Oreochromis niloticus: one gene and its partners. The protein of the gene in region 1 purifies or fractionates together with the protein of each later gene. This does not show direct contact. Links are inferred from orthologs where the notes say so. Each region holds a gene or a part of one and is shown in the gene's direction. Other genes may lie near its edges. The genes, in order: slx4, sumo1, kpna1 and regulator of telomere elongation helicase 1.

Region 1 (6,973 bases):
TATTCATATCTTTATTTTGTACCTTTGAGAATTGTTTTCTTTTTTTTCTTTTTTCTTTGGAAACTGTAAAATATTTTGTCTCGGAATTGGGCCAGGTTTTTGTTATCTTCACAAGCTGTCATTCCTGGCAATTGTAATCTAGTGTTGTACTATTACTGCAAGAAGATGCGTTCAGGGACAGTGACCGCTCCCATTCTTTTTGTGTGTATGAAGAGCACTCATTTGTATTAAAGTAGGAAATGGCCTGCAGCAGTTTGTGTAAACAGGCATGTATGCAGGAACACATGAAGACACTGACACAAACCCTCACAGTCACTAAAGCCGCGTTTCCACCACAGGAACTTTTACCAGGGACTAGGGACCATACTTTCAGTTACGTTTGGGGTAATTATTTAACCCCCACCAAAAAAAAAGTCCCTGGGTTTGAAGCGCTGAACATTTCTGATTGGAGTACCCGTCTTTACCACCAACTCCAGGGTGTGAAAGCAGTCATCTCTTTTTGATATGTCAGCGGATTTTTTTTTCTTTTTTTTTTTTCGTTTTGCTTAATGTTCACGGGCCTTTAAACTTTATTTCCTTGGAAACAAAAATTTCTGTGACTACGACTTCCGGGTACTTTTGGGTGGATACGCGGCTTAAGAGAAATACAGCTGATTGGTTCACCAATAAGGACTGCAGCCTACAACTCAGTGGCCTGGAATTTGGAAACGTTGTCTTGCAGGTGTAGAAAGTTGTTGCTTTGACATTAAAAAGAATTTGTCATACTTTTTTGTCATACAAATGTTGTAAAGTGTAAAGAGAGTGCGAGAAAGAGACCAGCCCCCTAAGCTGAGGTGGAATGATCAGTGGTTGTTTGTAGGCAATGTCTCGGATGATGCCCAGTTCTCCAAATTTTACACTAAGTTGTGTGCTATCAGGGGATGAAGGGCACATTTGAGATTCACCTGGAGGAGAACTAAATGTCATCAACCCTCATTCCTCTCACAAAAAAAACTTGAATTGGGGGGATTTACTTTTTCTCCTATTGTAAATCAAGTTATTAAACAAAATACTATAGATATAAGGAAGAGCGAATGAAATCACTGTATAAACTGGTAAAAGACTCATTTCTTACTTATATACCATATTGTTAAATAAACTGTGTGCAACAGAAGAACTCCAGTACTCTGTTGACTAAATAATGAGGCATCACTTCCTCCTGTTGGTGTGTATTCATTTGTTTCCGGTGTTACATTACCAGCAACAACTGTTTGGTTTTCATGTCACCTAAAATTTATTTCAACTTTAGTCTTCATCCTGAACTTTTAAAAAGATGGAGTTGAATTGTTCTGTTTAGTAAAATGATATTTATCGATGCAGCACTTTACAAAAAGTGACAGATGCCTTTTTTCCACCCATGTGAGTCTGGTGCCTGAACTAGAACCGGTTTCATGCATTTCCACCAAAGCCAGACTGTCAGCAAAAATTGGCACTTTTATTATTAGCAGGAATGTAAGACCCCCTTCTTTCAATCAAAGTGCAAAGCATTAATAAGTAACCTGCTAGGCTCTACAAAAAGTCTAGTGAGAACCAGTGTGATTACAGAAAATACTAATTTTAACCACTATGTCAGGTAAACATTTGCTAATTTTTTGGTGTTCTAGATTGAACAAGTTGCTGGAAACATTCCTCAGAGACATTTGGTACATGACGGCATTGTGCAGCACCTTCACAATGCTCTGTGAAACCTGTGAAGTACATTTTAGCGCACTGAAGTAACTGTCATTTAGAAGAAAATAGTCTCAAATAATAAGAGCTTTATGATGTCCATTAACCTGCTGAAATAGCCATTGGTCATAAAGACATGGACATAACAAACAGTAGTTCAGGTTGGCTGTACCATGTAAATGATGTGTGATTGGTGCTAAGCAGTCCAATAAGACATCCACCATCAGCATCAGGAGTTGTTACAATGTAGCATAGACTGTACATAAAAGGTAGATGCAGAAACTGAATTTATCCATTTGTTTGTGAATCCTTAAGGTTTGTGTTTTGGCTGCCACCTTTTGTTTTTTTGCAAACAGAAGTGGTGGAATGGTGGATTGCAGGTGGGTGCAAATTAACGCCCTAAAAGGCTAGTGCAGCTAAGTGGCTCAAAGTAATCATTAGTGGAGGAGGCAAATTTAACGGATATAGCTGTGTGTGGTTACACCCAGAACTTTAGACGTTAATAAACTTTAAGAAAAGTAAGTTATTAAAAAAACAGTCCTTATGAAGGAGTGTAGAAATCTGTAGAGTGCTGTTTTGATATAGGAGTTTAGGGGAACTGGCTCACTATTGCAGTGTAGATAGCCTCGTGGCCGGTGAAGGAACTACAATTTTTGGCACTTCACGTTTGGGTTAATTTTTCAGTCCCAGATGTGACTTTACAATCTGAATGTGGCAGCATCAAGGCTCATCAGAGCAGGTAATGATTTAGCAGTTGTCTGTGTTTCTGCCAGTGCAGCATAATCACATCCACACAGCAGCACAAATGTGAGTTCTGGTTCTTTCACTTAAAAAATAGCTTGTTTGGCACTCCATACAAATGTTTCTGATCTTCTGGAGATCATCTTGATTGCACAAGTCTTGCACTGAGTCTCTGCCATTTGAATGGCTATGGGAAATGTGCTGTGATGCCCAGTTGGTGAAGTCACACTCATGCAGCAGCCAGTTAGAATCTGAAATGTTAATTTCCAAAATATAAAAATTGCATTAAGAAGTGAAAGTGTAATGAAATTTTCAGTCGGGTAACATCATTTAGTCCCTGTCTCAAATTCAAGTCATGAGGTTTGGAAAGGTCTTTTAAGTGTGTATTACTGGAGTCTTTTTCTTTAAAAAGTCTATGATGTCTGAGTCGGTGTCTGTCCCTCTGTGTAAACTCCAGGCACAGAAATACACTTGGACACAAAGAAGTAAACTGTAAACTCCTCTGTGTATAGTAAAGATGTTTCTGAATTTGCTTGCTTCCTACATGCCTTCACATTCTAACAGTATTCATCAAATCTTAAAAAGCCTATCCACTCACCAGTCACTTTATAAGTCATACCTTGCTAGTACCTGGTTAGACCCCTGTGCCTTCAGAACTACCTTAATGCAAAGATTCCTCTGAGATTTAGGTCCATATTTTGATGACAGCGTCGCGCAGTGGCTGCAGATTTATCGGTTGCACATCCACAATGTGAATTTCTTGTTCCACCACATCCCAAAACTCTGGTGACTGTGGAGGCTATTTGAGTACAGAGAACTTACCCATCCGAAATGGATAAAATCTTTACACTGTGGTCATAAAGTGATGGACATGATCAGCAACAATGCTCAGGTAGGCTTTGTGGTCTTCTCCTTTAGGTAATCTGCTTCAAGGTGTCATGCGTGCGGAGATGCACTTCTGGATACCTCGGCTGCAACAGCTGTTTGAGTCATTGTTGCCCTTCTATCAGCTGGAATAGTCTGGCGTTCCTCCGCTGACATCAACAAGTTCCAGAGAACTACCACTAACTGGATATTTTCTCTTTCTTGGCCCATTCTCTATAAACCATAGAGATGGTTGTTTTGGAAAATCTCAGTAGCTCCGCAGTTTCTACATACTCAGACCAGTCCGTCTGGCGCTAACAATCATGCCGCATGCAAAGTCACTTAAAATGACCTTTCTTTCCCATTGCGGTGGTATGGTTTGAACTTAAGGTCATCTTGACCATGTTAACATGTGTAAATTCATTGAGTTGCTGCAGTGTGGTTGCTTTAAGGAACATGTTGATCAAGCCTGGGTCTTAAACTGGTTTAAAAAAAAATCATTATTTAGTTTAAAACGATTAATAAAGTGTTGGAAATCTTTAATAAAGCGTTTATAAATGATTATATTAAACTGTTATTTACAGATTTCGCCCAAAGCCGCTCGCCTTAGTCACATGACCTCGACAACACCCAGTTATTCGTTCATTTCACCGTCACATGGCCGGAAGTTTTAAATGAAGCGGTTTGGGGAGTAGCTTTGAAATGAAAACAAGTGCTGTTTGCTCTCTTCCAGGCTTTTTAGTTAACAAAAACCTCTATAGCGCCACATATAGTTTTAAATGAATGAGAATAAACTCTTCGGCGGCCCCTGTAAACGATGAGGCAGAAAATTAAACAGTTAATTCATCAAATATGGGTAAGTATAGAGGTGCTAGCATAAGTGGCTAGCTGTTTCACTCCATACCTTTTGTGGCATGATTTGTCAAACATCTGTGCCACATATAACTATTTCCATTTGTCTCAGTGTGCATGTAATTATAGCATCGCTGTTTTTATTTGAATACAGAATTACCCGCGCAAAATTTACTTACATGCAAATTAAACTTTTTCCCTCCATCGTTTCACATCAGTGGATCCAGCTTAAACTAGTTGTCTTTTTTGCAGGGTGATCGTAAAAGCCTCTTATTGCGAAGAAAAATACAGTATAATGGATGACTCGGACCAGGATTTTGAAGATTTCAGCCCGAAGCGTCTAAGACGAGTCCGCAAGAAACCAGGTGAAGCCAGACAGGCGAGGAAAGCAGAGAGGCAGACCTCCAGTCAAGCGAGCGAAGAGGATAAGAGAAGGAGAAATAACAAAAAAGCTGTTAACTCTATCAAAAGGCTATCTTGGACCCAGCCTGCTGCTGCTGCTGGTGATGGTGCTGGCGATGATGGTGGAGGAGAAAAGCGTGTGGTCAATGGAGAGGTTGGACATCAGTCAGGGGATGCTCGGCCATCAGCTGAGCCTTTAAAGGAAGCAGGGCCAAGTCCTCAAAGCGGCCTAAGAGCGAAAGACAAAGTGCTCCTGAGGATGAAGCAGTTCAAGAGAGATAGTCCACAGAAGATGGTGCACAAAACCCACATCCAACCAGCAAACCACGAGAGCAACTGTACTCCTTTTACACTGCAAAAAAATCAGGGTGAGATGACATGATCCTCTCCAGTCTACTGCATCCCTTACTTTGATGTGCTCTCTTTTCCTGCTCAGTTTTGTTTTTTCATTAGTTATATTTCTGTTGTGTTTGTGTTCAGTTTAGGTTCAGGCAGTTTAGAGTGGGTTAGTTTTTAATGTAGTTAAAACTAATGTAGTAGTTTTAAATGTTTAGCTTTGGTTTTTATTAGATTCAGTTTTCATTTGTTATCTAATGGGAAGAATTAACAGACAACAATAATAAAAATCCAGCCAAGGAGACATCTCTCTGCTCTCTGGATTAACAGATGCACAAGAGTCTGATCAAACTGGCTGCAATAACAAATTTGATCAAACTGACAAAATCTAAAGACATTTGCTTTACATTCTTATTTTATTTTTACTTAGTCTAGATTTTGTTTTTATATTACATAATTAAAAGGTTATTTTCACACCAAGTTATAGCTTTTAGTTCAGTTTTACTTAACTATAATAAGCATACAACTACTTTCTTATGCTTATCCAATTCAGGTTTGTGGGGTTGAAGCTGTTTCCATCTGTTATAGGGTGAGAGACAGGGTACACCGTGAACAGTAGAGGTAGTAATGGTGAATGAATTTAAATACCTGAGTTCAGCCATTGAAAGCAATGAGCAGTGCACAAAAGAGGTGAAGAAGACAGAGTTGACAGGGTGGAGTGTTTGAAAGTGAGTGTCCGGGGTGATTTATGACACAAGGATAGTATTAATGTGCCTGACAGTCTAAACAGGGCAAAAGCAACAACAATATGAAGACAATGGTAGACCTTATAAACACTGTAATATTTTGTGTAGGGTTTTCTGTGTCTGTATTGATCCAAGACATACTTTTTTCCGAATTTTACACTTTAAATTTGAGTCATGATATTTCAGTATAGGCCATATAGAATTTACCTTCATAAACTGTAGACATTTGACAAACTACTATCAACCTGTTACCCAGGGACTGGGTTCTATCGCTGAAAAATAGGAAATGTGGCCCATACCTTTTCCTTAATTTGAAATCCTGTTTTCTGAAATGTTGCTGTGTTATTCTTGCTATCCCTCACTTTAACCCGTATATTTCTCTGTCTCCGGTCTGTTCGCAGATACTCCAGATACCTTCAGCTCTGCTCTTCCTCCAGAGCCTCAAGACAACGATGAGGCTCTTGCTCTGCAGCTGCAGCAGGAGCTGGACAGAGAGGCAGCGCAGGCCCAGATTGTGGACTTGGAGGATGGAGGGCTTTTCTTCTGTCAGATTTGCCACAGAGACTTAACACACATGACAGCAGAGGGTCGCACACAGCATCTTAACAGGTCTGAGGATTTTGATTGCATTTTAGACGATAGCTTTAAATACTAGTGGGCACACAGGGAGGCTTAATGACATTAAAAAGTCTGTCTTCACTGTTAAAGCACTGTAAGAGACTGTTTATTGGACAAGTAACCTCCATGTGGAGTTCAAGGATTCCACTCAGTGAGTGCACCAAGTTGCATTTAAATGATTTGTCGGAAAATAAAACAATAACTTTTCTAATTTTCAGGTCATAGCTTCATAAAGTATAATGACAAACATCTGATTAAAATAATGAAATCCTGAGGTTATAAGAGTTTTCCACAAATAAAGTCCACAAATAAAAAAATCATCCTCAGTTTTTGTGTTTTAGAAAATGCTTGATTTTTTTTTTTTGCAAATACATGAACTTTTACCTAAAGTGTCTCTCTGAATTATCAAAATATATATATTTTTTCATTTTTGTCAAAAATCTCTCTGTACAGGTGTTTGGATGAGAGTGAAAAGAGTGGCCCTGCGGCTCCTCCACCTCCTCCTCCACCACCTTCTGGTGTTCCTGATTGTCCCATCTGTGGTAAGAAGTTCAAGTCCCAGAAGAGCCGCTCGGTCCACTTGAAGCGCTGTTCTTCAGATATGGACGTCTCCCCAGCTGTGCTGATACAGGCTCTGCAGAGACAAGCTGAGGAAACCCAGAGTGCTGCCACTGCTAATTTACTGTAAGTCAGACGATAACTTTGTT
Region 2 (7,703 bases), on another chromosome or scaffold:
ATGTGCATTGTCCCATTTAAATAAAGTAAATATAAATTTAAATCTTTTGCTTCTGCGGATTTGCTTCTTTCATTTTAGTTTAGTTTTTTATTATTTTTAGTATTAGTTTGGAGGTTTCTTTGTTATGTAATGGGTGCTATTTGTTGGTATTGTCAGGTAATGGTGGTATTTACTGCTATTATTATAATTAACACCTGAGGCTGACGTGTTGCTGAAACTGGACTAAACTGAAAAAGAGTAAATTTGAAGCAATTGATATTTTAATTCTGTTTAAATTAGTTTTGCAAATGCATAATATGATTTTAATTTTTTTTTCTTTCCTATACAGCTCTAGGTTGTTTATTTTTTTAAATAAAATTTAACAAAATGTTTAATGTATTATAAAAGTATTTTGTTATATATCCACATCACCAGCATTTAAAAGGCCAATAACTTGATGTCACTAATGGACTGATCAATATGTATTGTATTGATCTGTATTTATAATTTAAAATGTGAATTTTAATTTTAATTAAAAGCCAAACTCTTTAATCAACTTGTCTGGGTGCTTAAAAATAATGTGAAACATATATAGGGGCAGTTTAGACCAAGCACAAATGGAAATTCTGATATCACTCAGGTGAGACAAAACTGATTTTAAAAACCTCAAACTCCAAATAAGCCAGTGTTTATCTAGTTTATATTCATTCTTATTAGCCAGATAAAATGAATTTGTTAATAAAAAAAACAAAAAACAAACATATTTTAGAGCTTTAAAATGATCCTGCAATAAAACACAGTGTCATTGTGTGTGTGTGTGTGTGTCTGTGTGTGCGTGTGTGTCTGTGTGTCTGTGTGTGTGTGTGTGTGTGTGTGTGTGTGTGTGTGTGTGTGTGTGTGTGTGTCACATCCTGACATTATCAAAATTTAAAAAACAAAAACAGCCCTATGTTTTCTGCAATGTGCCTACAACTTGTATGATATGGAAAGGGCCCCATTATAATACATTTCTCCATCTAAGAGTTTCTATATTATATTTTAGTGTCAGTTTTGTTCATGTTGTCTAAGTTTATTATTGCATTTAGACCCAGTGTTATCTAGATTGTGGTTTATGGTTTTGGTCTTTGGATTGTTACACCCAGCTTGATAAAAGTCAAATACAGAGACTGCAAGCATTCCTTCCATAAAAATATAAACATTGTTCTTTAAAAAACATAAAACGTCTGTACTCTGTGCTGCATATTCACCACATTATTAGTCCGTTTTCAAAAAAAAAGTTTTTTCTGTGCTATAAAAGTACACTGAAAAGGGGGAAGAGTCCATAAAAAAGTACAATGTACCATTTTAAAATAAAGGAATTTTCCATTTAAATGTTTTATAGATATTTTTCCATACTTTTTAAATAAATACCGGGTTTAATTATTTACCGTGTCCATAAACTTGCATTTACTATCAGCAAAGATTTATATCACACTCTAATGGTCAAACATTACATTATACATATATTATATTGTAAAATAGTCTGCCTTGGTGACCAGTCGGGCAGATGGCCGACCCTCCCTCAATCTGCTTGTGTTGGAAGTTCATTTCCTATTAAAAGGCAGTTCTTCCTCCCCACTGTCACCAAGTGCTTGCTCATACGGGGCTGTCTGATATGGGGGGTTTCACTCAGTGTTGTAACAATTTGTAGATTTAGAATAATCAAAACATTTTCGAAACAACACTTTTGGCTGTGCCTTTATTTTCCCAAGGGTGTGCCACAGCCGATAGATGTGCAAAAGTTGTTGCCTTGGCACAGAGTTCACACCAGATGTCCTTACTGACACAACCCTCCCATTTATCCAGGCTTGGGACCAGCACGTACACTAAGGACACTGAGTGGAGACTGAGTTTGTGTCTCCACCCTCTCAAATTTTTTGACCACTACACCACAGAGCCACTTGTTGTAAAAATAACCTGTTATGGGGAAATTCAAATTTATGAAGTTACAAAAATTTATATAGTTCTTCATGTGATATGTTATAATCAGTGTTGGGTAAGTTACTTTAAATTAGTAACTTAGTTACATTACTAGTTACTTCTATCAAAAGTAACTCAGTTACTTCAAGTTACTCGTTACTTTCAGAGTAACTAGTTACTAGGGAAAGTAACTTTGGTTTTACTCAGAATTCTCTTGTTAATGTGTTGCTTCCGTAACTGGATACCCAGCCAGACTGCCAGTCTTCTAGCTTGCTTACTTGCCACAAGTGCACTGTGCCACCTACCAATAGAAAGGAAAAAATAATGTGCACATTTCCACGAGAGAAATCCCACGCCTGGACCGTCGTTGACCGCCGCCATGATTCTAGCCTGCTTTTTACATCCAACACAAAAACTGCAGTCGTGGTGCTTTTGATTGTACTCAGAACTTGGAAATTCTGCCTTCTGAATAGGAAGATGTAGGTAACACCAGACTGCAGATGAGCTGCATACAGAGCTGGACTGGGACAAAAAAATCGTCCCGGGCATTTTGACTAGAGACCGGCCCACCATTATAGGAAAAATCATAAAGCCTTTGAATGAAAATAAACACTGTTGTGACAGTGATGTACACTGTTCTGATGGTATATATGTATCAATCTATCAATTGTTTGTTGTAAGACTCAGATAATTATTTTTTTAAAAGCGAGACATTTTAAATGAGAATAATAAAGAAAACTATTTCCTTGTGTCCCCCTTTCCCTGTTAATGCCCTACCTGGCCCCCTGGCAACACTTTGCTAGACCCGCCCCTGCACAGTTACCAGCTGTCAGCTACTTAGAAAAGGATCCTGGTGTTATTTGTCTCTCAGAAACAGTTCATAACTTCCCTTCAACTCGTTCATGTCACCTAAAAGGTAAACCTGTTTCTCCATCACCTGTTCAGCTCTGATGATTCAGTAAGGACATCTCCTGGTTTCATCTGCATGTTTCCCTCTCACCAGATAACCAAACCGATATCATGACCAGCAGCTTTACAGCTGTGGCTCCAGCAAACATCAGCTGATACTAGAAATTAATATTAAATAAATTCTAACAACAGCTGATCAAGCTTAAACGTGCTGCTGTTGTTTAACGCGACATCCGCTGGTTTCCTCTTTCTGGCGCAAAGTGGGCGATAAATAAACAAGAGAGAAAAGCCGATCAGCTGATCATTGATCAGTTTCGTGATTGAAGTAGAAACGGGAGAGAATGAGAGAAGAAGAGGCAGCTGTGCAGCTTCAGCTTTGTGTCTTTTTCATTGTAGCTGAAGTCCGGGACAAACTGTGTTCCTTTTCACCTCAGTACGAAACGCGTAATATTTTCTCTGAATACCAGACGATTCTGTTTTTTAGGGGACGGTTGGAAACTCTAATAATTAACCGTATGAACAAAATAAAGTTCAACATCAGTAACATAGCACCCACACAGCTGTATAGAAACTCCGTCATGCTAGCTAGCACGCAGTACGAAAATGTCAGCATACCGAAAATAAACTCCACCTAAACTTGGTTTATATCTGACTCAGATAGACTGCAGGTCATAACTTCTTACCTGAAGTTCAGTTCACCTGACACGCGGACCGGCGGCCGCTTCGGGTCTCTCCTCTTGCCTCCCTTTTCCTTCATCCACCTGCTGGCTTCCACCACTTGCTAATGTTATTGAATCTGTGGAAGCTCCGATAGCCACCACACGAAGTAACGAGTAACGAGCCTATCTAAATCCCAGTAACGAGTAACGCGTTCCTGGTTTTGGCATAATAACTAGTTACCGTGCTCGTTACCACAATAATAACGTAGTTACTGTAACGCGTTACTTAATAACGCGTTAGTCCCAACACTGGTTATAATACAGCTGTCCAATATGTGGACCTTTGCTGGCTTTATCTTGGTCAGCCTTCTTGGACAGAAAAACCATAGCCTGGCCTCATAACAACAGGCCACAGTTTCAGGGTCACAAACCTGCGCTACATATGGCTTTTTTTTTCTTTTTTCTTTTTTTACCCATCTCCGATGGCTTCCTCTTCTTTTAAAATAACAACAAAACACTATATAAATGTGATCAGTGGATATTCATTTTTGGAACTTTATTCAGCACTAGTGTAAGGAACTCTTCATATTCTATGATTGTAAAAATGTGCAGCCTGTTCGCTGAATTCTCAAGCCTTGGGTCTTCTCAGCTAACAATTCAAGATCCATAAGGTTAAAGAAAGAAAAATGGTAACTAAGTATGTGGACAAATTTGGCTTCTTTCACTTCCAGCAAGGTTTATCTACATCTGTACTTTAGTCAAAATTACATCAAAACTGGCATTTAAAAAAAAAAAATTTTTTTGTTTAAATTGAAATTAAAATTATTTTTTTTCTTTTGTAAAAGTAGCCTATGTCAAATTTTATATATTTGTAAAATCACAAGTAGGGCTCAAAGTGGTTTGCAGAGCATTTTACTGGATATTTTGTACCACAATTATTCAGTTTATTTGGTAATAAAGAAGATAGGAATACATTTTAATCATTTACACCTATTAGTAACATTGATACAAGGTAATTTATATGTAATAGGCTTTATTGTAGGGCTCAAGTGTGTTTTTTGTTGTTGTTTTGTTTTTGGTTTTTTTACAGTCAAAATAGGGTAAAATTAGCTCTTTTGAGAGTAAAGATTAGCGACCCCAACTATATTTTTCAAAATTAAACGATCATGTCTGTGCTTCACTTTGGAGAGACTCTTATTTTTGAAAGAAGCAACCCCATGCGTCAATTCCGGTTGTCGAATAACATCAACCCGGAGCTGCGCCTGTGAGCTAACGCTTCATCTATTGTCAGTGTATTTTCCTCGGCACACACAGAGAAAAAGCATGTCAGATACGGTAAGAAATGCGCTCCGAAGGCTCTGTGTTGTTTTATCACCAGCAGAAAACGGAAAAAGGCTGCTTGCTGTTTATTTATGCCCGCTGCCTCGTATCGAGTTATCTAATATGCTAGCTGTTAGCTCGTGTAGCTTCGGGCCTGAAGTCACAGCTTATTTAGCCGCTAGCGGCTAGCTCTGGTTTCTTATTTAAAGTTCTGCTGTGGAGCAATGGTTGTTGGCAGTAATACGAAACAGAAACTGTTACAAAACAGAGTGACATGGTTTTCCAAAGCAGTGACACTCGGGTGTCGGCCCGGCTTGGAATTAAATAAATATTTATATATATGAGTGTGTGTGTCGTGCTTGGAGGTGTTTTGTTTATTTACGGTTTGTTTGTTTATTTTTAGGAGACAAAACCATCCAGCCAAGACGGAGGGGATAAAAAAGATGGAGAGTACATCAAATTAAAAGTGATTGGTCAGGTGTGTATGTGTTAGATGATATTAATGATGCTTTCTTACATATTTTTAGTGTTATTTTTGTTATATTTTCTTTTTGTACCAGTGTCAGTGTAGAGTCAGCTCCAGGGAGGAGGGAGAGACTGTTAGAGTAAAGGCTGTCACTTTACACTGTCTTATCAGACATAACCAGTTTTTTTTGTTATCAAAATCCTGCTACACTCCATGACCAAACATTTGCATATTTGCATTCGTAGGATTCTTATACTTTAATAAGTAAATAAAGTGTACATAAACTGAAACTACAGATCCACAACCATAAATCTACTCAGTGGCTCTTTTAACAAAAATATAATATTTGGCTTTATCTTGATTGATGCTGCAATATCTCAAAGGTGGTGGTCCTTTAAGTTGGTTCCTTTATTACGAAGCAAGTTTGACATACATGGGGGGTGTCTTTCTGTTTTATTCACTTACCCTTAGAACCTGACTGATTTATCAGCAAATTGAGGTTATCGGCTATTATTGGCTATTTATTATCTTTTGGTATCGCTGTGTTTAACGAGTGATAAGGCAAAGTTTAAAAGCAAACGAGAGATGGGGGAAACAATCTTCAACCATGTTTTAAGGGTTGTTACAACATAGTTTTATAGTTAGGCAGAGCATTAATGAGACAATATACTATTGTAAACAATGTGGAAGCATTACGCAGAAAACAGACAAATTTAAATGCAGACTGTGCAAAGACATGACAGCACTTGCAGTGCATGAGGATTTAAAATGCCGGCACCCTGGAGCTGTGACCTCAACTCTTGACTGGGACAGTTTTAGGGACCTAAGTTAGTGTGTCGCATTGTTACCTTGTTTATGTTAGTGTTTGTACACTAATATTTATGTTAGCTTACCTGTTGGAAACTTCTTAGGGTGATGCTAGCTAAGCAAACATGTTTTGTTAGCCAATGAGTGAAATGCGATAGTAAACCTTTAAACAGGAGTAGCTACACTGTCTCCTAGTTTGTCTTTTTTCTTCTCACATTAATATTAGTGTTTATTCTGAATAGTCAGGGGTGCACAAAAGTGGTCCGCAGGTGCACATTCACTGTCAAAATAAAAGACGCGCACCAGATAAGAAGTTGCAACGCGCGTTTGCGTACATATAAAAGGCACTGTTTTTGTCCGCTAGAGTGGGATTTTCACAGCATATTCTGCACCACATCTCTGTGCGTTCATCATTTGTTTGAAGCCAGCTCACCTCCTTCAACCACTTTTCCAAGAATACGCGCTTCTTTTGCGATTCGGACTCCTGACATTTCTTTGGAGGTGGAGGAACACCAAAGTAATTGCTTAAAGGAGCTTGCTTCTTCGACATCTTTAAGAGTTCTAAACAAATGTCTGTCCTCCAGAAAATCATATGTACGCAAACGCGCGTTGCAACGTCTTATCTGGTGCGCGTCTTTTATTTTGACAGCGAGTGCGCACCTGCGGACCACTTACGTGCACCCCTGTGAATAGTAAACCTCTCCCACCTAATGTTAGGTAGTTAATTTGTGGTTTTGCCCATATCAGTAATTAATTATGTATATAGTCAAACAGTTTAACTGGCATTGAGCACGTATAGATGAGCTTGTTTATGTGAACAAATGTTTCCTGGGTCATTATTTTAATTTGCTGTGGGACAAGACAGCAGGGTGATATTCACAGGTGGGCAGGCTTGAGCAGCTGAAGTACTGGAGCCTAGAACAGGAGGTTTGCCCAAAGGAAGTGGAGATAAGAGTTATTAAAATAGTCATTGATCAACTGACTAATCAAAGAAAAATTGGCAGATTAGTTGTCTACCAAAATAGTCCTTTAGTTGCAGCCCTACGATATACACCTGTATGTCACAAACGTCAGGGAAATCTGTTTCTCTGTTGTGTTTCTGAAAGGGAAAACAGACTTTGAGTTGATAAAACCAGAGCTGTGATAAATAATTGATGCCATGCTTTTTCTTAGATATTCAGCGCTCGCACGCAGAAAGTGCTTGAGATGAAAACAAAACAAAACATGACTTTCCTGAAAAAGTTATATGGTAACACATGGCATTTGGTTGCTGAGGAACAGGGGGAAGTTGTGGGAGTGATGGTGCTGAAAAAGAAAACGGCAAGTTGAGAGATTTGAGATATTTAGCGTGTTTGTAGTGAACCGTTAGTGTGTAGTGTCGAAGTTTTTATGTTTGTTTTGCTTTGTGTGGCATTAACAAAACAAAAAAGACCACTGAATGTCACAGATGCTGGCCACAAAGCCATCAAAGATGGTCTGCCATGCACCTTGAGATGTGACCCCTCACAGTAACCCCTGCCCTTCTCCATATACGCATGAGGCAAATTTCTGAAATTGACCTTATATGTAGGACAGTCCAGTATGTCTGGAATGGTGAATGTGCG
Region 3 (7,506 bases), on another chromosome or scaffold:
GTAAATGAGAAGAGTCAGTGATATGTTTGTTAATGACTGACAGGCCAAATAAATCAGCTAGGGTTCTATAGAGCTGGAGTGCACGTGAAAACAGAAGGTCATAGATGTATGATCAGGCACATGGGAATACACAGAAGGCCACACACCCTGCATCAGAGCAAGACTTTACTAGAAACACATGTAAACAGCTGCACTGAGTTAAGAGTTTGTGATCACCTGTTTGGTCAATTTTCGTTTCTTTCAGCTGTTTCGTTTCTTATTTGAATCACGTGATCCAACAAAAGATATCCGTAGTATACAAAGTTCTGTTCTTTAGGACATATTTTTATACATCTGTGGATTATTTAAAGACAGTGGAAGTAGGTTTACTGCACTTTTTCCATACATTTCCATTTGGAAATTAATATCCAACATTGTTTTTTTTATGGATTCTTAAGGAAAAAAACAGGCGATATAAGTCGGGACGCCACAGGCAAGTTTTTTTTTACATGATCAGCTCATGACCATGTCTTCTTTTAGAAAGATAACATCCAAAACATACATTCAGCTGTTTATTTTACTACTCTTTGTCTTTTTGCACATGCACAAATTAGTTTATAGTTATTGTGATATTCTCATTTCCACATTTGCATATTTTTTTTAAACCAATCAGAAAAGGTTTCCAGTAAATATGTATGTAATGTCATATTTAAAGGCCGTTTGTTGTGGGGGGGGGGTTTACAGTTTTTATGGAAAAGTTTGTTCACATATTATTCAAAGCCTGCAATATACTGTGTAACACTCAATGTTCAGATTTATGTTCTGGAATTGTATTCAGATAAGCTTATATTTAGAAATGTAGGCTTTATAATGCATATTTAAATGTATGTTAAAGTATTTGTCTTGATATACACCACTGTGCAAGCGTCTTGAGTGACCACTCATTTCTTAATATTTCCCTTTCATGGAGCCAGACTTTGTTGTATTTTATAAGCTTAATATATAAGTTTTTTTCTGGACATTGGCTGCTTTTTCATTCATTTTCAGTCCAGTTCTTGTACCTGAACATTTTCAAACGACTCTTTTGTTGTTTGTTAAGCCACTTAGCTTTGACATATGATTCACTTAAGCATTTTTTTGAAAGTACGTAACACAAGGGCTGAACCAGTGTTGTGTCCAAACATAACAGCAAACCCCTAAGAGGAGTGACCGCCTATTCTTCAAAGAAAACTCAAGCATGAAGGTGATCATTCTAAATTATGACTTTGACGCTCATTAGAATTGTAAAAACTCTGTTTTGACCTTAAATCCTGTATTTCCATCTATTTTGAAACTAAAACTATTGAACTTTAATTCAGTTTCTCACTTCACACAATCGTTTCATTATTGCCTTGAAGTTTTACTTTTAATTTAATTTAATTATTTTTTATGACACATGTTCTCTGGTGAGTTCAGTTACATCTGTAACTTCAGCTGGAAGAGTTGAGAGTTCAAATTTCCTATAATACCAAAAACAGACAAACTACTGATGTTTTTGTAGAATAACCTGTCTGACATGAGGGATAATATAGCATTTTCATTTTAACCAAAAGAAAGGGCTCTAAATTCGCCTTTGGCTGCATGTGTCTTTTATCTTATTCTTTTTCATTAACAATGTACTGACACTAAGGGCACATTTTTAGAAATCTCTGTAATTCCACAGAAAGGTTAGCCACTTTAGTGTTTCACTTGTGACCTATGAAATACCTCAAAATGACCTCCTACCCCCTGCACCCTTTGAACAGCCCATTAAAGCGGCAATGTAGTTGAATAATCTAGTGATATAAGATATTTCTCTCTTTAAAAGGGCCCCGTGTTTATGCACCAGTTCTGCAGAGGCGGTTTATTGCCCGATCAAAGCACGTTGCTCTTTTATGAACACCACGACTCCTGAGTTATGAAATCCCATAAACATCACTTGAATTAGTTTGAACACTGCTTTGTGATATTTTTATGTTTTATATGTTAAGAGAAAAACGTGTATGTGATGGCTGCAAACAAACCGAAAAGTTCATAATCAATAAGAGGAAAGCTTTTTTTTTTTTTTTAGATATTTTTCCCAGAATTTACATTTTTATGCTGTTGGTTTGTTTTTTAAATTACTATAAACTCGCTAATGCTGATAGAGTGACTTCACTTCATTTCACTTATTCTTTTTTGTATCATATTAAACAACAACAACACTGGAGGACTTTAAAGACTTTAATTTTTTCCAAGGTTTGAGAGCGCTCACCCCGGCTCGGGGCTCCACAGATGTGATGGATGAGGGCTCCTTGCTGCAGACTGCAGCGGAGTGTTTGACAGTCAAACATGAAACAGTTTTTGGAACTGAAACGGTCTCTGCTAACATGAACACACACCCCAAACAGTTCGGTAAATATGTACAGTTTCTCTCAGCTTCAGTTTTCAGCAGCTACCAGAACTTGGGACACCCCCAAAGCTGGCGCAGTTTTCTCCCGTTGAGCCTGCGCGTACTGGCGAGCGAGAGCGCTCCGGCTCGTGGCTCCAGATGTGATGGATGAGGGCTCCTTGCTGCAGATTGTAGCGGAGTGTTTGACAGTCAAACATGAAACAGTCTTTGGAACTGAAACGGTCTCTGCCAACATGAACACATACCCCAAACAGTTCGGTAAATATGTACAGTTTCTCGCAGTTTTCAACAGCTACCAGAACTTGGCCCCTGTCTCCATCCTCCCAGCCGCCTCCCACTTCATCTGCGGGCAGTACCTGCGTGTGTGAGCGCTGTCACCGGTGGCTTCGCAGATAGGGCAGGTGTAGTTCCGGAGGATGGGGCAGAAAACTTTCCCGTCGTCTGATTTGAGCTTGTGAGATCGGTACACCCTCGGAGTCTCCCCGTTCTGCTTGCAGAAGCGGCAGTAGTCCGAGGATGACGCGCTGCTGCTGGTGTCCGACGCGCTGCTGGTCGGACTGGACTGCGATGAGTTTTTGGAGGATTTCTTCCCCCGAGTGGAAGTGTGGACCTTACTCCAGGGGGGCGCTTGTCCCTTCTTTGGACGCTCGGTGTCTCGGTTTTCAACCTCACGGTTGCTGCACAGTCTCTCGAACACTTGGCTCAGATTCATGTAGTCCTGCCACATGTTAAAGCAGTCCCCACCGGGGAGGATCGAGCTCTGGACCTCCAGTCGTCTCGGCATTGTGGTCATTTTTTGGCAGAAGTCAAAGGGAGGGTGTGTTTGGAGCGCCTCATATTTATAGCTCACTGAAGTTGGTTTTAAAATGTAACAATGTTTGGATCCTATAGATTGCATGCAGCCTGACGACGTTTTTTGGAGGCAGAGAGAGAGAAAAAAGAACTTTGGTGCAGGTGCAGTCTTTTATGTAGCTTTCTGGTGACCTTAGGACCTCTTAAGAACCTTTACGAAGCCAGTTGACAGGCCTTTAATCGAATGATCGGTTGGTTGATTGATAACAGAAAAATGACGCATAAGCTGGACATAAAGGACTGAAAACACCAAGAGCAAAATATTGCATCGCATTCATTTTTTGTAGTTTATGTTTAGATTAGATAATTTCGCAAAATAACGCAGCAAAATAAATAATAAGAGCCGGGATGTGGAGACTATTTAGCACTGAAAACGCTACGTCCAGGTGAACAGAATCAACTTTCTGGGATTACCTTACCTGGATGATTGAATATGTATCAAGACTATTTAACAATAAGCTTACTTTAAAGGCTCGTAATAGGTGAACTGTTTTGGTATAGTTGGGTCACGCAAAGTTCATGCATTTCTTTTTTTCTGTCGCAGTGCGTTGGCCTTTATCCTCTCATCCCCTCTCGCTCTTTCTCTCACACACAAACACGCGCGCGCACACAGTGTTTAATTGTATGAAGATAGATAGATAGATAGATAGATAGATAGATAGATAGATTAAATTCAAAGTGAATTATGTGATTTAATCTGTTAAGTTCAAATCTCTCTTCTTTCCCTTAGTTTTGCATGTATTTGCGTTTTTTTTCTTTTTTCCCTTTCTTTTCTTATTTTGTCACTTGTTTACAGTTTTATTATTATTCGTACTTCTAATGTGCTCGTATCTGATGGTGCTGATGCTCGTGGGCCGTGTGTGTGTCTGAGGATGATGATGGTCCATGTTGTGTTACTTGTTGTTTGTGTGTGTGTCCCCCGATGACCCCTGGCGCCGGAGCGTCTAGACTACATTAGAGAAGTGTCGCATCCAAGAGCCGCACCTGCACTTATAGAGAGCACATACATAGAGGTGAGTGATGAGGATAAATGGATAGATGGATTTTCGAAGAGCGCACAGTTGTATTTCCTGCACAATCACACACGTAGTGAGGCTGTGTGTATGCCGGTTATACCATGAATGTAACCCTGCAGCCACCGCTTGTTTGTCAAACTGTTTATGAAGCAAACGTCGCATTTCTGTTAATTTACAAAGCAAAAAGAAGAGGGGGGGAAAAAGAGGCGTAGGAGGGGGCGGAGCTTAGATACGTGCGGGGGAGTTGTGGGTCGTTTGCGTTTAGTTGGACGCATGCGCACTAGTATACCGGCGACGGCTGTTCAAACGGTGGCCTAGCGAATAAGGGGATTACGGAGCCCAATCTGACAGGTTAGATAACGAAAAACGTTTACATTTTAGCTGTGTATGTGTGGCAGCGATTCATAATGAGAAGTTAAATGAATTCTTACTGTCTCAGACGGTGGTCTGTCGTTTGCGCTAAAGTTAATGTAATGGATTTTGGTACTAAGCTAACGTTAGCTACAGCAGTTAGCCGCTGGCTGCCAGCTAGCTTTCGATAGTAGAGGAGGCTAAGAGCGGCGTTGACATTAGCCAGCTGACCAAGTGTACCCTCCCGGGGGACTTGTGCTTTTGGGTTTTCCTTGTGCTTGTCCGAGTTGTGAGTTGACAACGGAAGTACTGGACCCCGATCAGTAGGTGGTAAAATGATGCTTTCTTTTCACGCAGCATCAAGGCACGGGAAGCTAATAGGCTAGCTGCTATCCTTACATGACCCTGTTTGTTGAACAATCTTTTTTGAGAGGAATGATGCACACCGGTAGCTATGCCAGCGTTGGCTACGTTAGTTGGTGTCTGTCTTGCTAGTCTTTGCAGTACAGTTGGTGGTGTTTAATAAAAAAAAATATGAAAAAAAAACAGGAGGGTTTGTTGTTTCTCATTTGGGAACTTTGAAAGATTTGCTCCAAAGCATATCCAAATAATAGACTTCTGACTCTTCTCAGGCTGCACAATGAGTCAGGGCAAGGACAATGCACGCCTCAAAAGCTACAAGAATAAGTCTCTCAACACAGATGAGATGAGAAGGAGGAGGGAAGAGGAAGGCCTGCAGCTCCGTAAACAGAAGAAGGATGAGCAAGTAAGCAATGTGTTATACTGTACAACTAAAACCGTCATAATGATCCTGAAATTACATACTGCCAGTGTTTGGAGTAAACTTGAGGCCATGCTTTGTTTGCAGCAATTTAGTGTTGGAAGGGAAATGCCTATTTGTACTTCTGTTGCAGCTTTTTAAGAGGAGAAATGTCGCCACTGTGGAGGATGATGGCACCCTGGACGAGGATGGGATGGCTGATAGCGGCTATCTGGAGTCCCAGGCCAACAACATGGACCCACTCATGGTGAGAAGGCATTCATATGTCTGCTCTGTCACACATACACGCCTTTCTGGTAATCAGATGGCATCTAAACATGTTGGTTTTATGTCTAAATGATTACTTGGGTCATTTTTCTGTAAAACTCATGGAGGCTGTAGAGGAGCTTTTCTGTGTCATGTTCAAAACAACACAAATTTTAATGTATGCAGTGACATTGACACATAGCAAACCACACAAATAGCATGTTGAATCTTTCGTACACAGTGCAGTGTGTTTCTCGCCTCACCAGACCACAATGTTGTATGCAAAGTTACATTTTAGCACACAAACTGTAATTTGCATAAATTCCTCTGTGATGCATTTAGTTCTAATCAGTTAGGGCACTGTCTGTAAGCATGTTAGTAACTGTAATTTGCATAAATTCCTCTGTGATGCATTTAGTTCTAATCAGTTAGGGCACTGTCTCTAAGCATGTTTAAGATAAGATAAGATAAGATAAGATAACCTTTATTAGTCCCACATGTGGGAAATTTGTTTTGTCACAGCAGGAAGTGGACAGTGCAAAAGTTATGAAGCAAAAATTAGAATAAAATAAAATAAGAATAAATACAGTACACAACTGTACAGAATAGAATAAAATAAAATACTATATACAGTAGAATAAAATAGAATAAAATATACAATAAGATAAAAATAGAATACAAATGCTATATACAACTGAGTAAAAAATACAACGATGCCAGGAAGATTATTGCACTTAGTGTTATTGCACATGTGAGGAGTGAGCTACAGCTTTCTCAGCACCACTGAGCAGACTCCCTGCTCCAAGTGGCAAAAATGAAAATGAAACATTCAAAAGTGTGGTTACCCCCCCCCCCCCCCCCCCCCCCCCCGAGTTTCGTCAACTGACAAAACTCATTGTACCAAGAAGATTCCTGATATCCAGGCATATGAGATGTCATCACTCACTGCACACATCAAGTCAGCTGTTACAGCAATTCATATGTGTTATATAAAATCCCCATTGTTGTGCCACACAGGGTGGGGTGATCTCTGAAGACATGATTCAGATGATTTTCTCCAGCTCTCCTGAGCAGCAGCTAATAGGTACTCAGCGCTTTAGGAAACTACTTTCTAAAGGTAAGTGGGGCCCTAGCTTTGCCCATTACAGCCACTCCTGTCTTTGTATTTGTTTCAGTATGTCTTACAAGGGAAAGATGATAACTGATTGAGGCCCAATGCAAGGACAAAAGCATTTTTTTGAGCTGCATAATCTGCCACTCTATCTCACAGTTTACCGCTGCCAAAGCATTCCTGCTAAAATTCATAACTACACAATATCAGAGTGGCCGGAGTGAATGTTACATGGGGTGTAATGCTGTTAAGTATGCCTGTATTAATTGTTGCCACGTCACCTCACACGCAGAACCCAACCCACCTATTGATGAAGTCATTGCCACTCCAGGGGTGGTGGAGCGCTTTGTTGAGTTCCTGAAAAGAAGAGAAAACTGCACATTGCAGGTACGTTTTCCTAGAAAACTAATATTAGATTTTATTTGAAGCTTGTAGATTTTTGTTTTTGTTTTTTCTCCCTCATGTTTGTTTGCAACGTGTTCTTCCTGTTTCACCATCATATCTGAAAGGTTGCATGTGTTGTGAGTTCAGTGCACTAACTTTCTTCATATGTTTTGAATATGATTGTAGTTTGAGGCTGCGTGGGTATTGACCAACATTGCTTCAGGTACATCTCACCAGACACGGGTGGTAATCCAGGCAGGAGCTGTGCCCATATTCATAGAGATGCTCAGCTCGGATTTTGAGGACGTACAGGAACAGGTGAGGAGGCTTCATTTTTACCTTTCCTGGTGTTCACTGACCTCTGGCAGCTTGTTGA
Region 4 (6,875 bases), on another chromosome or scaffold:
ATTTTGTTCTCATGTATTTTATTTTATTTTTGTTAAAAATACAACTGCTTAGATCATCTGTGTTTTTGTCTTGTCTAAACTTGACAAAGTCCTGTGACACTGGACTTTGTCACAGGACTGTAGCTGCTGCTTATCAATATATTAATAAGCAATACTTAGGAGCACAGCAGACGCTAACTGAATATCAAGTTAATAACACTTTATTTTTTTTAAACAGTGACTTGAGATTAAGAAACTTAAATTTTACAGTTGGAATATTTTTAAAATGTAAATACAATGAAAGTATTTGCAAAACTCTTTAGAATTGCCTTATATAGAGGATTTAAAGTATAACATGAGGCTTGCAGACAGCAGCGTTTGTAAGTTAATGTGCGGCTTATGTTCTAGACTCTCACGTGAAGAGAGAGGGTGAGCTCCTAGTTGATGACTGTGGTGGTGAGCTGGATAGGTTGGTGGGGCAGGATGCAAGACGGGCCTGGTGCAACTTAACAACTTCACTTAAACCATGCAAAGAAAAGATCCAAAAATGTACCCTTCAACTCTGAGTCTGATTTAACATGGATGGAGTAGAAAGTTGTCCTGTTGACTAAACAATCACAATTTCATATTCTTTCTGGAATTCATGAAGGTCTAAGTGGAATAATGAAATGTTTACACGTAAACTTGAGTTAATTATTGTTTAATTATAGGTTTCATTCTGGTTTTCTTACTGGTGCATTTTTGTGTTCCAGCATGCGGCAGTGGGCCAGAAGAGAGGCCGAACGTTTGATTCAGCAGCGCGAGGCCGATGGTGTCCCTCTCATAGAGGAGAACTACTATGACACAAACAAAATCATTCTTCCCACAGCTGGAGGACAGTAACATGTCCACTGTCCACTCACTGTAATACCTGATTATTGTATTTCACTGATAAAAATAAAATACGTATGTGTTGAATTTTGTTGTTATTTTTTGTGGACAGTGATAACTTGCAGTGGCATTTTCCTCAAAGCCTTGCTTATGAGCGGATGTCGATTTAGATGTCGGCCAGTCGTGTACCTGTGTTTTTGTAATGGGTTTGTAATGTACTGTAAGTATTGTAAGATGGTGACAAAAATCTTACAGTAGGAGACAATCCTATCCTACCAATCCGAGCCAATAAAAACATAGAATATGTCAACTGTCAGCCTCTTCTATTTAAAAAATACACTGTAACTTCAGACCTTACAAATCACTATGTAACATGCTTTCCTACTTATTTAACCATAATAACTGTGTAGTCATTTGGTGTACTTCTAAGTTACGTGACTTATATAAAGCTCCTAGCCTGATATAATTCTAGAAATGAAAGACAATGAGGGAATATAATAACTACTCTGAAACATTTTTACAAACAAACCACTCATCCTAAAAGACACTATGATTAGAGTAATCACACTACTACACATATTACACAAGTCATAGTTACTGTTGGGACAAAGTACTGTTAACATATACTAATTTTAATAAAAGACCTGAAATAAAACTCAAATAACTTAAAAAAAGTTTTAGATCAAAAAGGATAAATTTTACATCAGTTTCCAAGTTATGTTGTCATTTTATCCTGCGTGTACGCTACTACCTGTTGACTGTATTCATGAAATAGACTAGAACTTACAGCTACACTTTCACAACCTGCACTTTATACAGTTTGTTCACTCCACAGACATGCAGAGTGAACTAACAATGTGAAGCCTTTGTATTTTCCATAAACACTAGCAGAAGTCACAACATAGTATAACATAACAATATTCAGTACAGACAAGTGAATCATATGTAATAGCAAACATTCAAAATGGTTGCAAAAGAGCGATTCTCTCGCTCCTTTAACGTGGACCTAAATTCCCCCATTGTGTATAACACTCCCATGTTTTATTTAAATGTAAGTACTGAGTGTGTAATGCATGCTTTGGATAAATACATTTGACAGCACGGGTAAACCTTTACACAAAGTAGCCGTCTCTCACACATCATAGAGCCGTTGGTATTATGGTTTGTTTTTGATTAGTAAATTATCATAGTGAATTTCATCAGTCTGTTAGTTAAAAGCGGAGTCTGAAATTAAGGTAATAAAAATATGGTGGTCAAGTTTTTGTTTTGTTTTTTTGTGGTTTTTTTGAGATGAGAGAAGATGAAGAGTTCAGCAGATTGGTGAGACACCAAAAGAGCAGAAAGGTGAAGAAGGAGATGTGAGCATCAAAAAGACAAGCAAGAGGGCATGCAATTTAAAACAAGTCACAATAAAAGCAGACGCTATGAAGCCAGGGCTGGTAGAGCGTACCGTCAGCATACTACCTTTCAAATAAATACACTTACGGTAAGTTAATTTATGCTCAGTTTCATAAAAAATACAAGAATTATTGAGGAGGAAAAATAAATGGGGATCTGTATGGGCTGCTTCCAGGCATTGCCAGGCGCATTTTCTATTAACCAGTCTTTTGGACTGGGGCTTGTAATTACTGCTTTTGATACTACTGCTTCAATTTACTATACCCGCATGTGTAAAAGAAAATAATACCCTCTCTGTCATTATTATTTTGCTGTGGATTGTGTAGACTAGACTATCCAATCTCTTAAACACTGGAATCCAAAGGATAGTCAAATAAACATTATATAGATCTATAAATAATTCATAAATAGCTTATTTTAATGATTACTTGAGAGAAAGTGAGAGACAGAGGCTGGTGGGTGAGCTCCATTCACTCCTATCAGCAGAGAGAGCGAGAGCGGCACACTGTGCTGTAAAATTATTAAAACATCTCAATAACAACAACACACCTGCTTTAAGGAGAAAATCAAAACTGTTCTTTAGTTTTGTCTGCTTTCAACAGAAAATGTCATTTGCAGCATTAAGTGACTTCATCCTCACTACAATCAGTTACATATGCGTCCCCATAAAGAATATGTTTATACTATAAAAAGAGCCAATAAAACATATTAATTAATTACAGGCGATCTATTTCTTAACAATTTTCATGACAGATGTGTTTTTCTTTTTCTTTTTCTTATGCAGGTTCACTATTGGTCAGAATTATCCCATGAAAATGTTAACTTTTTTTATAAAGAAGGAAAAAAACGTGCATTCTTTTCATTTAAATGTATATTTTTAAATTAATTAAAATCAAACCAAACGCTATGCCAGCTTCTAGCTTTGCTTGACAGTGTGTAAAACAAACCTGATGACACGAACTCCTAGAAAACTTAAAAGTCAAACAAACACATTCAAAGTTTCAGGGCTGTGAGCAAAATCAGCTGTAAATCAGTGTGGTCGTTACAGTGAACACCGCAGTCTTTTCTCTGTATGCTTTATAAAGCAGCGCGAATGTTAACAGATGGAGAAATTTGCTGAAGCACACCGATCACTATAGTCACAGATGTGTCTTTAACAGTCTCATTATTTTTCTTCTCTTGTTTGTATGAAAACATCTGCTGATCACAATTACTGACAGTCTGAGTAGTAATTAGTAAGTGGCTTTGTTTGGAATTGTGCAGGGCATGTCTGCGTCGTTGTTACACAGAAAGGTATTTTCAAGATGTAGTAATAGCCAAATTGGCCAGTAGATGTCACTGTGGAGATGGGTTTCAGATTGTTTCAAAGCCTCGCTACAATTCCAAGTCATTTGCGGCATTTGTAGGTACAACACCGGCATCGACGCGCGTTTTGTAGTCCATCTTCTGCACGTCGTAGTTTCAGCGTGGCAGACATCAATACTTTGGAGATTGTAAAAAGTCGTTGCGATTCTCAGTGCGCCGCTTTTCTCCTTATGAGTTATCCTACCCATTTGCCCTTACTGACCTGCTCACTTTTTCCATCGAAGACGAGAAAAGTGGTTAGAAAATTAGATAAAAGGTTGATGTTGGAGTGTTCAGGATTCCGTGACCCTTTGAACGCACCAGTCGTCAGCGTCACAGTGCGCATGAGCAAGTTAAGTGAAAGCTGGCGCGAAACAACTATAGTTGGGATTGAGAACTCCTTTCTACTAAGCCTAAACGAGCCAATGATAAAAGTACATTATACCACAGTTCAGCCATTTAAACTGGTCAAACAGAAGAAGTACCTCTCTGGATTTTAAACAACAACAACAACGATTTTCGTCTATGCTGCTGCCGACTGACGCCAGAGGACAGAATGCCTTCACTGACTCTCAGCGGAGTGACTGTAAATTTCCCTTTTTCTCCGTACGAATGTCAGAAGGCATACATGAACAAAGTAATCGAATGTCTTCAGAAGGTAAGAATCGACTGTCATGTGTATGTGTGTTAATGGAAACAAACTGCAAAGGGGCAGTACTGAACAGCCACGGCTATACGGCCACCATGCTCACCGTTTGCCGCATGACAGAAGTGATCTCGCATCTGCTCGCGCAAAACGTCGCTTCCCAGAAAGCACAACGACGTATTGCCGACGTATATCTGCTGTGTCTGTCGGGATAGGCGCTGTTTCATCTTTGGGAACAGGTCGCTTAGTGCTGCTTTGCCTGCGTTTCAGGTGGCCGTGGCATCTACGTATCTTAGCACTGCTTTAGCGACTTCCTACTGCTCTCTGTGCCATATTCATACAGGCTGATCTTCTCACTCAAGTCGTGGTGTAATGTGTGCTTTAAAATACAGCGAGCATTCCTATATTCTACCATAATAGAATATTATGTGTCATGTTTCCCCCTGTTGTGTCGGTACACTAAGCAGGAGTTATAAAGAGTCAGACAGATACACACGTTAGCTGTTTACATTCCGTCTTCTTCTCTTTGTTATCATATACCTGAAGAAGTTACACACACACACACACACATAACATGGCGTGGTGCCCACTACTGGCGATAGCTTTTATAACACACAATATACCTCAGCTCATACATAGCATTATGAATTAAGCAAAAAAAAAAAAAAAAAAGCACTTAGATACTTAGTTCCTTTCTAAAATTCAGTGTAGGCTACTGCAAACATCTGCTCAGGAATGAAAAGTGATCCAGGCACATGTATAACCTCTTTTGAAACCTCAAACGCACTGAAGATGACAGAAAGACGACATATCCTTAATAAAGGAGAAAGTAATGGTTTTGCATGTTGATTTATTTTCAAACATACATTCATGCACTAATATTTCACAGCAAGACTGTGACTGAAGGGAATTCTGATGCAGCACATTTAAAAAGAAAAGGGAAAAAGAGCCAGCTGTATGCAGAATCTATTATTGTTCTGTTATAAATTTGCCACATTTTCAAATTTTGAATGAAATAAATATTTCTTAGCCCACAGCAGAATGAATAAAGGAACAAAGCACTTTAAGGGAAGGGGGGGATAAGTTACTACATGAAATTGTAATCTTCAGTTGGAGTAATCGAGTGCAGCTGAATGCACAGATATCTTTCAGGACTGTACAAATACACAAAATGAATGAATTTTAAACGGCAAGACTTTCCATCTTCTTCTTGTAGAAGAGTATTCATCATCTTCAGGTGTGTGTATTTTGATATGAATTTTACTCCTAAGATTGCAACCATTAAGGGAACTAATTGTAATCAGAGTCCGCAACATTCAACTAAAGAGGTTTCTTCCAGGTGAATGTGTTAATGGAGTTACTCTGTGGTAAAAAACAAAATGCTGGAAAATAATTTATTTTAATGTACTTTGACTTTTATGGTTGAGGAACGCTGGCATGAAATGTGTTATCTGCCCAACATAGCAGCTAAGCAAAGCTTACTAACAGGGTGCCATCCGCAACAGGACATAATCATTAACTAGTGTTAGTAAACTCTCAATAGTTTTCAGACAAACATGTTAATGTGATATGAAAATTCACTTTATTTTATGTAAATGACTGTTCATCTTCTGTGTCTTCTATTTTCAAACTGCTAGCTTCATTCAAAATTCATGCTCTATTTTCAAGACACACTAAATCCCCAGGAGGATTGGCCAGAGAGGGAAAAAGTGTTGGTGAAATGGAGGTAAATGACGTCGGCAATATGTCGCTGTGCTATACTGGATGAAGTGTGATTTATCGAATACATTCCTATGTAATGCCGATGTTGTGGCGATGTGTGCACCACTGGATTTTTGTAACCTCTTCCATTGTGTCGCTACAGTTACAGCTGGGTTGAAGAAATGATTGTACATTCATATTGGTTTTTAATTCAAGTTCAGTTTTATTTATACAGCACCAAATCACAACAACAGTCGCCTCAAGGCGCTTTATATTGTAAGGTAGACCCTACAATAATACAACAGAGAGAATCCCAACAATCATATGACCCCCTATGAGCAAGCACTTTGGCGACAGTGGGAAGGAAAAACTCCCTTTTAACAGGAAGAAACCTCCGGCAGAACCAGGCTCAGGGAGGGGCGGGGCCATCTGCTGCGATTGGTTGGGGTGAGAGAAGGAAGACAGGATAAAGACATGCTGTGGAAGAGAGACAGAGATTAATAATTATTCATAATCTAAGGCAGAGTGCTGAACACCACTCTTCACAGTGAGTGAGAAGGGGTGAGAGACGCCGAAACGCGCAGTGCATCATGGGAAGTTCCCAGCAGCCTAAGCATAACTAAGGATGGATTCAGGATCACCTGACCTAGCCCTGACAAAAAAGGAACCTGACTTTTTGACAGTGGCACCAAAAGGCAGCACACACGATAATGTGTTCCAGAGTGTGTTGTTTCATGTAAACAGGCACTGATTTTCAGCATGCCTCCATAGTAAAAGAGATCGGTGATAAACTGACTTGGTTACAGTCCAGATCTGTTTTAATACTTGATGGGGAAAAAAAGATATGAAACGAGCCTTCACATCATGGGCCTGTCCTTACAATAGCCCCCATGTAAAATTGAGAACTGATTTTAAAATCCGTCTTTTCATGTGTATG

The links.
Region 2: the proteins of slx4 (region 1) and sumo1 purify together in Homo sapiens (affinity purification with mass spectrometry; 3 studies listed by BioGRID, with this or other methods). This does not show direct contact. The link is inferred for Oreochromis niloticus from reciprocal best matches to the Homo sapiens genes SLX4 and SUMO1.
Region 3: the proteins of slx4 (region 1) and kpna1 purify together in Homo sapiens (co-immunoprecipitation; 3 studies listed by BioGRID and IntAct, with this or other methods). This does not show direct contact. The link is inferred for Oreochromis niloticus from reciprocal best matches to the Homo sapiens genes SLX4 and KPNA1.
Region 4: the proteins of slx4 (region 1) and regulator of telomere elongation helicase 1 purify together in Homo sapiens (affinity purification with mass spectrometry; 3 studies listed by BioGRID, with this or other methods). This does not show direct contact. The link is inferred for Oreochromis niloticus from reciprocal best matches to the Homo sapiens genes SLX4 and RTEL1.

Annotation. Positions count from the first base shown.
Region 1 is NC_031971.2:30,579,018-30,585,990, reverse strand, and holds the start of slx4 (structure-specific endonuclease subunit SLX4), read left to right. Parts: upstream 1-3,963; 5' UTR 3,964-4,168; intron 4,169-4,416; 5' UTR 4,417-4,459; coding exon 4,460-4,934; intron 4,935-6,049; coding exon 6,050-6,257; intron 6,258-6,719; coding exon 6,720-6,950; intron 6,951-6,973. UniProt on the Homo sapiens protein: Regulatory subunit that interacts with and increases the activity of different structure-specific endonucleases.
Region 2 is NC_031986.2:20,155,671-20,163,373, reverse strand, and holds the start of sumo1 (small ubiquitin-related modifier 1), read left to right. Parts: upstream 1-4,694; 5' UTR 4,695-4,829; coding exon 4,830-4,841; intron 4,842-5,229; coding exon 5,230-5,304; intron 5,305-7,703. UniProt on the Homo sapiens protein: Ubiquitin-like protein that can be covalently attached to proteins as a monomer or a lysine-linked polymer.
Region 3 is NC_031974.2:18,422,913-18,430,418, forward strand, and holds the start of kpna1 (importin subunit alpha-5), read left to right. Parts: upstream 1-4,492; 5' UTR 4,493-4,608; intron 4,609-5,240; 5' UTR 5,241-5,248; coding exon 5,249-5,374; intron 5,375-5,522; coding exon 5,523-5,636; intron 5,637-6,652; coding exon 6,653-6,752; intron 6,753-7,038; coding exon 7,039-7,133; intron 7,134-7,316; coding exon 7,317-7,448; intron 7,449-7,506. Other genes in the region: nanos2 (nanos homolog 1), read right to left, coding at 2,682-3,287. UniProt on the Homo sapiens protein: Functions in nuclear protein import as an adapter protein for nuclear receptor KPNB1. Binds specifically and directly to substrates containing either a simple or bipartite NLS motif.
Region 4 is NC_031984.2:36,164,421-36,171,295, reverse strand, and holds the start of regulator of telomere elongation helicase 1, read left to right. Parts: upstream 1-3,863; 5' UTR 3,864-4,147; coding exon 4,148-4,249; intron 4,250-6,875. Other genes in the region: ndufb11 (NADH dehydrogenase [ubiquinone] 1 beta subcomplex subunit 11, mitochondrial), read left to right, coding at 732-861. UniProt on the Homo sapiens protein: A probable ATP-dependent DNA helicase implicated in telomere-length regulation, DNA repair and the maintenance of genomic stability. Acts as an anti-recombinase to counteract toxic recombination and limit crossover during meiosis.